2 linked regions of the Arabidopsis thaliana genome follow. The protein of the gene in region 1 interacts with the protein of each later gene in a biochemical or structural test. Each region holds a gene or a part of one and is shown in the gene's direction. Other genes may lie near its edges.

What was found.
Region 2: the proteins of AT1G67700 (region 1) and PSBP-1 form a complex in vitro, tested with the Arabidopsis thaliana proteins (one study listed by BioGRID).

What each region holds. Positions count from the first base shown.
Region 1 is NC_003070.9:25,370,924-25,377,193, forward strand, and holds AT1G67700 (multidrug resistance protein), read left to right. Parts: upstream 1-3,148; 5' UTR 3,149-3,169; intron 3,170-3,214; exon of another isoform or gene 3,215-3,265; 5' UTR 3,266-3,371; coding exon 3,372-3,644; intron 3,645-4,035; coding exon 4,036-4,173; intron 4,174-4,271; coding exon 4,272-4,358; intron 4,359-4,482; coding exon 4,483-4,530; intron 4,531-4,646; coding exon 4,647-4,789; coding exon of another isoform or gene 4,790-4,793; exon of another isoform or gene 4,794-4,803; intron 4,804-4,880; coding exon 4,881-4,887; 3' UTR 4,888-5,127; downstream 5,128-6,270. Other genes in the region: AT1G67690 (Zincin-like metalloproteases family protein), read left to right, coding at 112-192, 280-372, 449-529, 605-767, 909-1,029, 1,116-1,188, 1,329-1,436, 1,548-1,645 and 6 more; ARR11 (response regulator 11), read right to left, coding at 6,071-6,270. UniProt on the Arabidopsis thaliana protein: Involved in photoprotection. Forms a complex with LQY1 that is involved in the repair and reassembly cycle of the PSII-LHCII supercomplex under high-light conditions. May function in guiding the release of psbC from PSII core monomers.
Region 2 is NC_003070.9:2,044,850-2,050,931, forward strand, and holds PSBP-1 (photosystem II subunit P-1), read left to right. Parts: upstream 1-2,784; 5' UTR 2,785-3,090; coding exon 3,091-3,337; coding exon of another isoform or gene 3,338-3,341; intron 3,342-3,447; coding exon 3,448-3,680; intron 3,681-3,770; coding exon 3,771-3,821; intron 3,822-4,076; coding exon 4,077-4,337; 3' UTR 4,338-4,590; downstream 4,591-6,082. Other genes in the region: NIH (nuclear DEIH-boxhelicase), read left to right, coding at 1-937, 1,024-2,484; AT1G06690 (NAD(P)-linked oxidoreductase superfamily protein), read right to left, coding at 4,893-5,078, 5,247-5,309, 5,625-5,707, 5,854-6,021. UniProt on the Arabidopsis thaliana protein: May be involved in the regulation of photosystem II.

The sequences.
Region 1 (6,270 bases):
ACTGACTTTTTTAGTAACCAGGAATAATTTCAACATCTCTCTCTATGTTCTGGGCCAATGCATTAAAATTCATATTTAAACAAGTTTTGGCTCTTGTTTTAAACTTTGCAGATAGCCAAGACAAGGAAGACGGTGGCTATGGCATATGGAAAGAGATGTGGAGATACCAATATTCCTGTGTTACAAAGATTGGTACTTGCGTGTCTATTCTAAAAACCCTTGACAGAAGCCTGTAGCACACTTTAATCAGTTGACTTTCTACTATTCTCGTCTCTGTAGGTTCAGTCACGCCATAGATTAGCATGCGTATGTGGTTATGCACACTTCGCAGATTATGCTCTTGATCGTAGGATGTCAAAGACATCAATGAGGGTTTGTGAAAGAACCTTTAAGTGATTAATCTAACATTCTTCATGACTCCTTTGTACTGACGCCCTTCTTATGCCAGGTGATCAGGTTCCTGGAGGACATTTCTTCCAGTTTAACTGACTTGGCTATTAGAGAGTTTTCCATTTTGGAAGACTTGAAGGTAATCGAATGTTGGTATTATATAATTACAGGTTATGCCTTTCTCACTACTTAACTTGCTGAGTTTTAATATCAGAGGAAAGAAGAAGGGGAGATTCCATTTGGCGTAGAAGATCTTTTATACTACATAAAGAGGGTAGAGGAGTTGCAGTTTGATCTTGATTTTGGAGATATCCGGCAATATTTTCCTGTCAACTTGGTCCTTTCCGGGATCTTTAAAATATGTCAGGACCTTTTTGGTGAGTTTACGTCTGTACTCTAAAATCTTTTGGGGGTATTAATAAATTTTTGCTTTGCTTCTGTGGCTTGAGAATATTTACTATCCATTTATTTGATCCTCGTCATAGCTTGCTGGCCAACTTAATGATTTCGCCATGCAGGAATAAAATTTGAGGAGGTTACAGAAGTTGATGTCTGGTATCATGATATTCGAGCTTTTGCCGTCTTTGACTCAGGATCTGGAAAGCTTTTGGGATATTTCTATCTTGACATGTTTACAAGGTCCATTAGCAACCTTACTTCATTCTCCTCTTTACTTTTAGAGCCTCCATTTCATTTTGAGTTGTGATAATAATTTTGTTTGACAGGGAAGGAAAATGTAATCACAGCTGTGTGGTGGCTCTTCAGAATAACGCACTGTTCTCCAATGGTGCATGTCAGGTGACAATCCTACATCCATGTCGGACCTTTATGTGGAAGTATCATGCAACTCAAATATAAATCGATATTGTGATCTCATGTGGATGTATTTTAAGGTTTTAGTATTCGTATTTTGGCATTTATTTTGTTTCTGTCTCCAGATTCCTGTGGCGTTGCTTATTGCACAGTTTGCAAAGGATGGTAGTGGTGAAGCTGTGCCATTGGGATTTTCTGACGTGGTTAATCTTTTTCATGAGTTTGGCCATGTGGTACGTGAATGAAATTGGTTACGTGGAACAGCAGAATAAATTCTGTTGGTATCTTTTGTATGTATCAGGGGATGTTATTAGCTGATATTCCTTGCTACTATTGGTAAATAGGTCCAACATATCTGCAATCGTGCTTCATTTGCTAGATTCTCGGGCCTACGTGTTGACCCCGACTTTCGGGAGATTCCTTCTCAGTTATTGGAAAACTGGCAAGTAAACTGATAATTTTTTCTTAAAATCTTTCTGTATTAACACTAAATCCTAATAGACGGAATATAATTCTTGTATCTCTAGGTGTTACGAAAGTTTCACGTTGAAGTTAATATCAGGTTATCGTCAGGTGAGCGCTTCTCACGACTAAATTGTTGACAATTGTTCTTGTCGTAGACTAGTCATAATAATTTGTTTTAACCTGGGATTTATTCCTGCAGGATATCACCAAGCCACTTGTGGATGAAGTCTGCAAAACACTCAAACGTTGGCGATATTCTTTCTCTGCACTAAAGTCGCTTCAGGAGATATTATACTGTGAGATATTAATTGACTTTTAATGATGCTTATATACCTTTTCATTTTGACTTCATTGTAGTTTTTAAACTGAAATATCAATTCCTCACAATCGTTAGGACAAATGGTTTGTTAGTAAGACGAGTAGATTGTGGTTCTTATTATGCTTTAGAGGAAGCAGTAGTTAACTAAGAAGTCTACTAGCGGGTAAAATGTGGTATTGCCTAATGATGCTTGAAATATGGATGATCAGGTCTATTTGATCAAATAATATATTCGGACGATGATGCTGACTTACTCCAGCTAATCAGGAGTCTTCATCCAAAGGTAAAAGCATAAACTCTCAAAGCAATCTGGTCTGTTTACGGCAAAGAAATTTTCTCATACTAGTGTCTTTCTATATATAGGTAATGATAGGGCTACCAGTGGTGGAAGGAACCAACCCTGCTTCATGTTTCCCACGTGCTGTAATTGGCTCTGAAGCAACATGTTACAGTCGTTTATGGAGTGAGGTATGATTGATTTGCACTGTGGTGATCCGTACCTTCCATGACTTTAGTCTGAGAATCCACCTATTTCCACAGGTGTATGCTGCTGATATATTTGCTTCAAAATTTGGAGATGGGCATCCGAATCTATATGCCGGCTTGCAGTTCAGAGACAAAGTGAGAAGCGTATTTGTTTGTCTTTCCTTTGATTTAGTAGTGTGTGAGTGTAAAAGGACTAAACAAGTAACAACTACTTTCTTATTAGGTGTTGGCCCCAGGAGGAGGCAAAGAACCAATGGAACTTCTCACCAATTTTCTTGGAAGGGAACCATCAACACAAGCTTTCATCGCTAGCCGGACAAACTATAGTTTGTAGTATTTTGCACCTAACATTAGGTTCCAGTGAATCTGGTAGCTGGTGAAAATAAACATTTCTTTGGTTGTTAGAGACATCGTTTATTGATGTTTGTTAATGTGTTGAGAGGACCTAGCGGTTTAGGTGGAAACTGTAATCATTCATTCTTAGTTTCTTACCTTTCTCTGCATCGCAATCTCAAATTACGAAGAGTTATATAACATAGTGATCATCATTGAGCATGTACGGTGTTGAAGATAAGGACTTGTCTCGATCAATTTACAAGACAGATTCTAATATTATGGTTTTCTTCTCTTATTAAGACAAGAATAGTATTGTCTTTTTGGTTTACTTTGGAAATAGGATTGTAACAGGCCTTAAAGGTAAGTAGTTTCAGACATACGTAAAAGAAAAGAGTTTCAGATTACCTTATGAAGTACGGTTCTGGTTCGGTTTAAACTGGTTTGAACACGTGGCAGGTACAAGTAGATAAGGTACGAATCCACGAAATCATCATCTTCCCCAAACCAAATAATCTCTCGTTTCTAAACAAACTAGTGGTGAGTGAATCTTCTCTGGTGAGTAATGGAAGTGAGTATGTCTTTGAATGCGTTAACTCGGCTTCCTCTGAAGAACACAGGAAGATTCGAAGAGGTTGGTTTAGCGAGACACTCTCTGTTTAGCTCAAGAACGGCATGCCGAGAGACGGCGGTACAGCAGCGGCGGATGGTTTTTGTGGTGGAGGCTAAGGGAAAGAAAGGTATGGCGGCGCGTCAGTATCAACGTACACCTCCTCCTATGCCTAAGATTGAAGACGATGGAAACCCAAGATTCGTTATCTTCATTCGTATGGCCAATGTTCGTCTCTTTTCCACTCTTTCTTCACTTAGCTTGGATTAGGAGATAATTAAACGCTTAAACATGTTAGCTTTGCTTTGGTTCTGTTTCCAAAGTTATATACTTTTTTCAATTTGATACTCCTAGACCAATTATTAGATTGCAAATCATCTGGTTTCATCAAATTTGGATTTTTCAACATTTCAGCTCTTTGTTCTAGTACGTGTTTGTTTATAACATGAATTAAAATTGTTAGCTTGATTGGTTTTGTTTGCAAAGTTATGTACTTTCTTTCATTCGATCCTTTTAGATCAATTATCAGATTGCAATTGTGTTCTGGTTTCATCAATGCGAGTGTTCTTTTCAGCATTTTACTTTTTGTTGTAAAAAGTGTTTCTTGTGACGTGAACAGGTGTATCTTTGGTATCCTCTGAGTATAATAGCTGGTGGTACTACTGCTAAGATCATGGTTGCTGCAAAAGATAACCTCTTGGGGAAGTATATCTACAAAGACACCATTGCAAGAAACATTGCCGCTGTTATTTACAGAGTAAATTACACAAGCTTCTGCTTATTCTTGTGTGGTTGATTCCACTATTAATATGTGTCTCTTTAGATGTTATTTCTAATTGTTTTTATCTTCAACAGGATGAGAAAGAGATTCAAAAGACAGCAATTAAGCAGCATCGTGTCTTGCGTACAGCCACCGAGTTTCGATATGGCTACAAACTTGTAGTAATGCTCTCAAAACCCTTTTTCTTCAGTTATTGGAAGCTCTGCTTCATTTTGTAGTTGATGAGACCGTAGGAAAAGTTTTCTGGTTTCGTTTTCACTTATTATGGCTGTATTATACATTCAGGAAAACGGAAACATGAGAGCTGCACTTAGTACTTCAGATGTTATTGAGGTGAGCTATACTTAACTACATGAGATCAGCTCTCAAACTTCCTACAGTGACACCAAAAGGATGCTGTTATAGATGTTTTGTCTGAAACGTTTGTGTTTTGTCCTGAACCATCGCAGCTCCCAACCCAGGACCAGCTTAAAACAGTGTTCGACAAAGTTAAAGACTACTTTGGGGATGCAAAAGAGTCATTCGGAAAGCTATCATCGCTGAACCCGGGGAGTGACGAAAAAACTGAAGAAACCTCGGATGAGAAAGCCAAGTAAGTATAAACAGGTACTGAATGTTTCTTCTTTTCATTTTCACTAGAATTTTGGTGTTTTTCACCAAAATGATATACAACCGTTTTACAGGGCCTGAGGCTGAACAATTGACACTTGGTTGGTTGATTTTGATGTCTCAACCGTCTCGGTATGGGCTGCAGAAGGTCACTGGATATGACGAGACTACCGCTATTTTGTGCACATTTTCTCTATACATCTCTCACAGAAACAGCTTCTGTTAAATCTCTTGTAACATATAACTTATTGTGTATTGTAGATTTGTTGAAAGAAAGAGCCATTGGTTACAACTTGCAATTTCAACTTTTCTTAGACATTGGTCAAACAATAGTAGTCGAAAATAGGAAAACTTCCCACTATATCTTTCGAAGAAACCCTTAACTAGAACTGTGAACAAGATATGCAAAAGCTTCGTGAAGGTGAGAGCAAGACCATTTGCAGAGATTTAGTAGAATCTCCCTGATTGCTCCAGTAGGTAAAAAATCTAGTTCTGCGCAGTATTGGCGACATCTGACTGTCCGAACATTGCAATATGGTGTGTGTAGCTTCATAAATTGTTTGTTATGAATAAATTAGAGCTTTGTCAGGTAACTAATCCATTGCCTGCATAGAAAGATGTTAGATAGTTCAAAACTCTGAAGTTTCCCATCTTGGATCTGGTGGCAAGTGGCAACTGTTAGATATCTTCGATGTAAAACGTTTCCCGTAACACTCATTTGTATATCTGCTCTAAGATTGTGAACTCTCACATTATTTGATGATAAGGTTATGGGACAGATTCTCAACAGATAAAAGAACATCACATGTGGCAACTGTTAGATATCTTCGATGTAAAACGTTTCCCGTAACACTCATTTGTATATCTGCTCTAAGATTGTGAACTCTCACATTATTTGATGATAAGGTTATGGGACAGATTCTCAACAGATAAAAGAACATCACATGTGTTGGAGTAAGGAGGTAAAATTCCTAAGTTTTGCAATTAGATTCAATGTGTAGTAGAGATCTTTTTTTCATGATATGACATGCAAACTAATTTCCTTCCAGGTGACAGTGAAGATCTTAAGCGACGGTGTGAAACATGTGGCCTTATCACTGTCATCAACCTGTTTGGTGTAATTAGCCTACGACACTCGTGGATTATTGTACAATGCATCCGATCATGGAAGGTTCTTGGGAAAGCAAGATTATTTTCAGGTATACCCACAAAATCTTTCTGCATTACACCAACCAATATACGAAAAGAAGTTATTGGAACAAGGTTAAGATATGAATAAACCTTGGTCTACCATGAAGGAATACTCGTCAGGGTCAGGCAGCCGCTCATTTCCATACCAATTAAGGTGGGCTGGGAGCTCAGATAGGAGTGATGGGCTACTACTGTAATCTTGAAACTGGAGTCCGGTGTTTGCAAGAAAACGCTCGCCTTGAAGCCAAGTCAAGTCTAAGTCAGTGTCTAAAG
Region 2 (6,082 bases), about 23 Mb from region 1:
TGGACAGAAATTTGGTCAGCTTCCAGTTCATCCTCGGATTAGCAAGATGATTTATTTCGCCATATTAGTGAACTGTTTGGATCCAGCACTTATTCTGGCATGTGCAGCTGACGAGAAGGATCCGTTTACCATGCCCTTGTCGCCAGGTGATAGAAAAAAGGCTGCTGCCGCAAAACATGAACTTGCATCGCTTTATGGAGACCACAGTGATCATCTTGCCACTGTCGCGGCTTTTCAGTGCTGGAAAAATGCAAAAGCAAGTGGTCAAGCTAAGGAGTTTTGTTCTAAGTACTTCATCTCCCAAGTTGTCATGAAGAGGCTGGATGATCTGTGTCGCAAGCTTCAGGGAGAACTTAATAGACATGGGGTCATACCTAGCAGCAGCTCAAACTGTAGCCTGAATGCTCATGATCCGGGTATTCTCCGTGCTGTTATAGCAGTTGGATTGTACCCTATGTTGGGAAGGATGTGCCCACTTTCCAAGAATCGGACAAGGTCTGTAATAGAGACTATTGCTGGAGCCAAAGTCCGTGTGCCCTCGCTATCAAACAATGTTGACATGTCCTCTACCAAGTTTGACGAAGCTTTAATTGTTTTTGATGAGATCACTCGAGGAGATTGGGGTGTGGTGATAAGGAGCTGCACTGTTCTTCCCACTATACCTGTGTTACTGTTTTCAAGAGAGATAGCCGTTTCTACTACAGAGAGCTATGATGCTGTTAAGAGTGATGACGAGGAAGACCACAAAGTAGGAAATGTAGGAGACGCGATGGACATAGATAAAGAAGTTGGTAGGCCTGGAGAGAAAATAATGCTTGGGCCGGAAAATTCAGTAAAAGTAGTAGTGGATCGGTGGCTGCCTTTCAAGGTTACAGCTTTTGAAATTGCTCAAATGTACATCTTGAGAGAGAGACTAATGGCGTCCATTTTGTTCAAGGTACATGAGTTATCACTACGATTTAAGATTTTCATTATTTTATTTTGGCAATGTCATCCTTTTCAACCTTCCATATGCATTTGTAGGTTAAACATCCAAAGGAAAATTTGCCGCCTCATCTCGGTGCTTCTATGTATGCAATAGCTTCTGTTCTCTCATATGATAGCCTCGCACAATCTTCAGTTCAAACTGTAGCTGTGCAACCTATTACTTCAGTGGTAGATGCAACGAGTCCCAGAGATGACATACCTTCCACTAACCCCAATGAGCTTCGGGAGCATGACCCGAACACTACTCCAATGGGGTCAAAGCTCGAATTAGCCAACAAGTTGGGTTTGGGTAATATGGAAGAGAGCTTGCCTTCAAATTTCGCTGATGGGAATGAGCAACCTGACCCAAACACTTCTCCAGTGGAAGATGTTTCGGCGGCTACAAAACAAAAGAAGATGCAGTCAGAGTCCAAAAGGTGCAAGTCGCTCAACAACGTGGATTTGGGGAACATTGAAGAGAATTTCGGGAACATGGAAGAGAACCCACCTTCTGATCTGGCTATTGGGAATGAGCAAACATTGCCGAAGTTAGCTAGCAACTTGGACATGGGGAACATGGAAGAGAACACGCCTTCTGATCTGGCCAATGGGAATGAGAAAACAGAGCCTAACTCAGCCAACAGCATGGATTTAGGGAACATGGAAGAGAACACGCCTTCTGATTTGGCAAATGGGAATAAGAAAAAAGAGCCTAAGTCAGTCAGCAAGTTGGATCTGGGTAGCGAGAAAGTGAGCATTCCTTCTAATCTCGTCAATGGAAATGAGCAACATGACCTAAACATTGCTCCAGGTGAAGATGCTTCAGCGGCTAAGCAACCAGAAAAGAAGCGATCCAGGTCTAAAAAGCGCAAATCAGGCAACAACCTGGATTTGGGGAAGATGGAAAAGAGCAAGCCTTCCGATCTGGCAAATGAGAATGAGCAAACAGAGCCCAAGTCAGCCAACAACTTGGATTTAGGGAATATGAAAGAGAACACGCCTTCGGATCTGGCTAATGAGAATGAGCAAACAGAGCTTAGGCTACCTAACAACTCGGATTATGGTAACATGGAAGAGAGCTTGCCTTTGAATCTTGCTAATGGGGATGAACAACCTGACCCAACCACTGCTCCAATGGAAGCTGCTAAGCAACCAAAAAAGAAGCGATCAAGGTCCAAAAAGTGCAAATCAGTCAACAACCTGGACTTGGGGAACATGGAAGAAAACAAGCCTTCTGATCTGGCAAACGGAAATGAGCAAAAAGATCCTGAGTCAGTCAACAGGTTGGATCCGGGTAAGGAGAAAGAGAGCATTCCTTCGAATCTTGTCAGTGGGAATGAGCAACCTGACTCAAACACTGCTCCAGCTAAGAAACCAAAAAAGAAAAAGCGCAAATTAGCTAACAACTTTGATTCGGTTAACAATATGGAAGAGAAAATGCCTTCCACTAATGTATTGAGCCAGGGAAACAAGTCAGGTTTGATTGAGGAAAAACCGAGCATACCTTCCGATCAATGAGCAGTGTGGCTCAAATACTGCACCAACCTAAGCAAAACCGAAAGAAGAAGGGAAGTATGATGCCCATTCCACTTTGGTGTTTTAATGAGCATTTCGGTGTTTGTCATGAAACCAAGTTTTGAAATGGCACTTGTCTACATAAGTGTAACAGATTCTTAATTTCAACAATTTTGTTAGATAATTTGTATTCATTCTCACTTAGTGCTTCCGTTGTTCTATCGTTATAAACGTTTTAAGATATACGCATGTAACTGAAAGAAGAAAAGCCATTATTGATCCAGTACTGTAGTGTCTTAGTGTGAGCAGAAAAAAGATTTGATCATGGAATGGCTTTAGAGTAAAATACTAAAATAGATGGAATCGAAGGCTTATGAATCTGACGTGGAACAAGAAGAAAGCGTATCTGCCACGTGGCACAATACAACACCTCAACAGCCTTATCTGGACATCAACAGAGAGATCCTCCAATATCCGAAACCAACCAATCAGCTTCACTCTTGGTTTCACCTCCATACATTAACACACCAACAATCCTCAAAAAACACTTTCATAACTTAATCACACACAAGGAGAGAAGAGAGAAAGAGAGAAAGAGAGACAGAGATAATGGCGTACAGTGCGTGTTTCCTACACCAGAGCGCATTGGCTTCATCAGCCGCACGATCATCATCTTCCTCCTCATCCCAGCGTCACGTGTCGCTCTCCAAACCTGTTCAGATCATCTGTAAAGCTCAACAGTCTCATGAAGACGATAACTCCGCCGTCTCCCGCCGTCTTGCTCTCACTCTCCTCGTCGGCGCCGCTGCTGTTGGTTCCAAAGTATCTCCTGCTGATGCCGCCTACGGTGAAGCTGGTGCGTTTATAAAATAAAATAACCTTGGATCATTTCATTTTCTTGAAGAAGAATCTTGAAGAACATATTGTGTTTTTTTCATCCTATTTTTATTTTTTGGTTTGTTGCAGCAAACGTGTTTGGGAAGCCAAAGACGAACACAGACTTCTTGCCATACAATGGAGATGGGTTCAAAGTGCAGGTTCCAGCAAAATGGAACCCAAGCAAAGAGATTGAGTATCCAGGACAAGTCCTTAGGTTCGAAGACAACTTCGATGCTACTAGCAATCTCAATGTCATGGTCACTCCTACCGACAAGAAGTCCATCACTGATTACGGTTCTCCCGAAGAGTTCCTCTCTCAGGTCTTTGCTTTACTCCATCATCTGTAAAGGTATTGATGTTACAAAATCTAATGAAGTGTGAGACTGAGTGGTGATTTGGGCTTTATGCAGGTTAATTACCTCCTAGGGAAACAAGCTTACTTCGGTGAGACTGCCTCTGAGGTAAACTTCCCATTGTTATTTGTTATAAGTAAACCAGAAGCTGATAGAATAGAATAAGAGAATCAAACACTAAAGAGAGAACACATTGTCTCCCTCGTTGTTAACTGATAAAACAAAACTCAAAAGCTTTTTTAACTGATAACCTTCAAAGACCTCTCTAGTAGTCGATGATTATTACAAGAAAGATTCTTACCTTAGGTGGAGTGAGTTATCAAGTTCTAACTCTGTGTGTGTGTGAATCTGATGTTCTTACAGGGAGGCTTTGACAACAATGCAGTGGCAACAGCAAACATTCTGGAGTCATCATCTCAGGAAGTTGGTGGGAAACCCTACTATTACTTGTCTGTGTTGACAAGAACGGCTGATGGAGACGAAGGTGGGAAGCATCAGCTGATCACAGCAACCGTGAATGGAGGGAAGCTTTACATCTGCAAAGCACAAGCTGGAGACAAGAGGTGGTTCAAGGGAGCCAGGAAATTTGTCGAGAGCGCAGCCACTTCTTTCAGTGTTGCTTGAGTGAAAGCAACACAACGTAACAATGCTCTGCTTGCTTTCTTCATTTGTCTCTTGTAAAAAATGGAAAATGAAACTGAGCTTTTGAGAACTATCAAGATGATGTTACCTTTTCGGCATCACTTGTGTACCTATGATAACAGACTCGTTTTCCAAGTTTTCTTAAAAAACAACTATATTCAATAGATATTTTCTCAAATTAATAAGATATTGACTCAGAAAGAAGCTATAGACTAAATCTAAATCCTTGAAAGCACAAAGATAGTGAGAAGAAAGCCTGCTTGAAGCTGATATGAAAAGAGGTAAGCATCAAATGGTTCTTCTAGTCAACAGAAAGGTTAAAACGCAGATGAATTTTGACGTCTGACTCTAACTAGATCTATTGAAGCATATGCCAAAGGCCCTCCTCTTTCTTTTTGGCTACTGTAAAGTTCTCAAAGAGGCAAAAAGATTTTATTTGCATATGTATTACAACACTTTACCATCATCTATATACTACTTTTAGTTCATATTGTAACTTTTGAGCTTTACAAATGCTACAAACAGAGTGTTAAGAGTTCAGAGATACTCAACAGGGAAACCAACGACGGGTTTTATCTCAGAGGCCAGGGACCGTAGCTCACTCACTTCATTGTCTGTCAGACTCCAACCTATCGCTCCAGCAAACTCTTTGGCTTGTTCTGCGTTCTTGGCTCCTGGGATGGGTATCACGTTCCCTTGTGCCACCAACCAGTTCAATGCTATCTGCACAGCACAACACAACAAAACAAGAAGGCATATGATTTGATGCAAAATCGAGGGTGTACACTTGGATAGCTTAATATGGATCACACAATTACTCTTTTGTATTTTTCTTAACGTTTTTGGACAGGGAAAAAGAAAAACAGAGTGCATAAGGAAAAGGGAAAGAACCTGTGTGGGAGTTTTGCTGTAGTTTTCCCCAATTTGTTTGATTCTATTCAACAGGGGTTGAAGCTGTAACGTCACAAGTCAAAGTTAGTGAAGAAACCTGGCACTATTATGCTACCTTTTGATAATTTCTGTATAGGTACATTGATTGGTGTTGTGTTTTGTATAAAAGTGTATACTTTGTCTCAAAACAGAACTTACTAAGAAAAAAGCAGGATTAGAGGAGAAAATCGACAGGTTTATAACAGTGAGATATACAAGTTATCAAAATCCAAAAATCTGTTTCTTAGAAGACTCGAGGGTTATTCAGATGTAACTATGGTTTTGCAGACATACACGCCTGTGTTAAATAACTTAGATATATGCAGCGAAAGCTATTACCTTTGTTAAGAACTCACGCGTATAAATGCGACCCCGAGGACCTGAGGGTGGGTTCTCTGGGGTGTATTTACCAGTTAGAGCACCTGGAAAAAAGACAAAAGAGCAAATAACGGAAAATGTATGTGTTCATTAGCCAGGTTGTTTTGCGTCAATACTATAAGAGCCTGATGCAACTTTTCTAGAGAACGATAGACATGAACACAACGCAAAGGAGATAAAGGCAGATTACCTTGAGCGATGGGGGAATATGCAATTAAAGTAACTCCAAGCTCATCACAAGCAGCCTTAACACCAGTCTGCTCTGGAGCTCTGTATATCAGACTGTAGTTGACTTGATTTGAGGCCAGAGGAATTCCTCTCTTTTTGAGTCTTTCATAAGCATCACGAAGCCGCTTCTCTGAAAAATCGCACAACAGTAAGTATAATGAATTTGAAAGTTCATAAGATATGCATCCGTG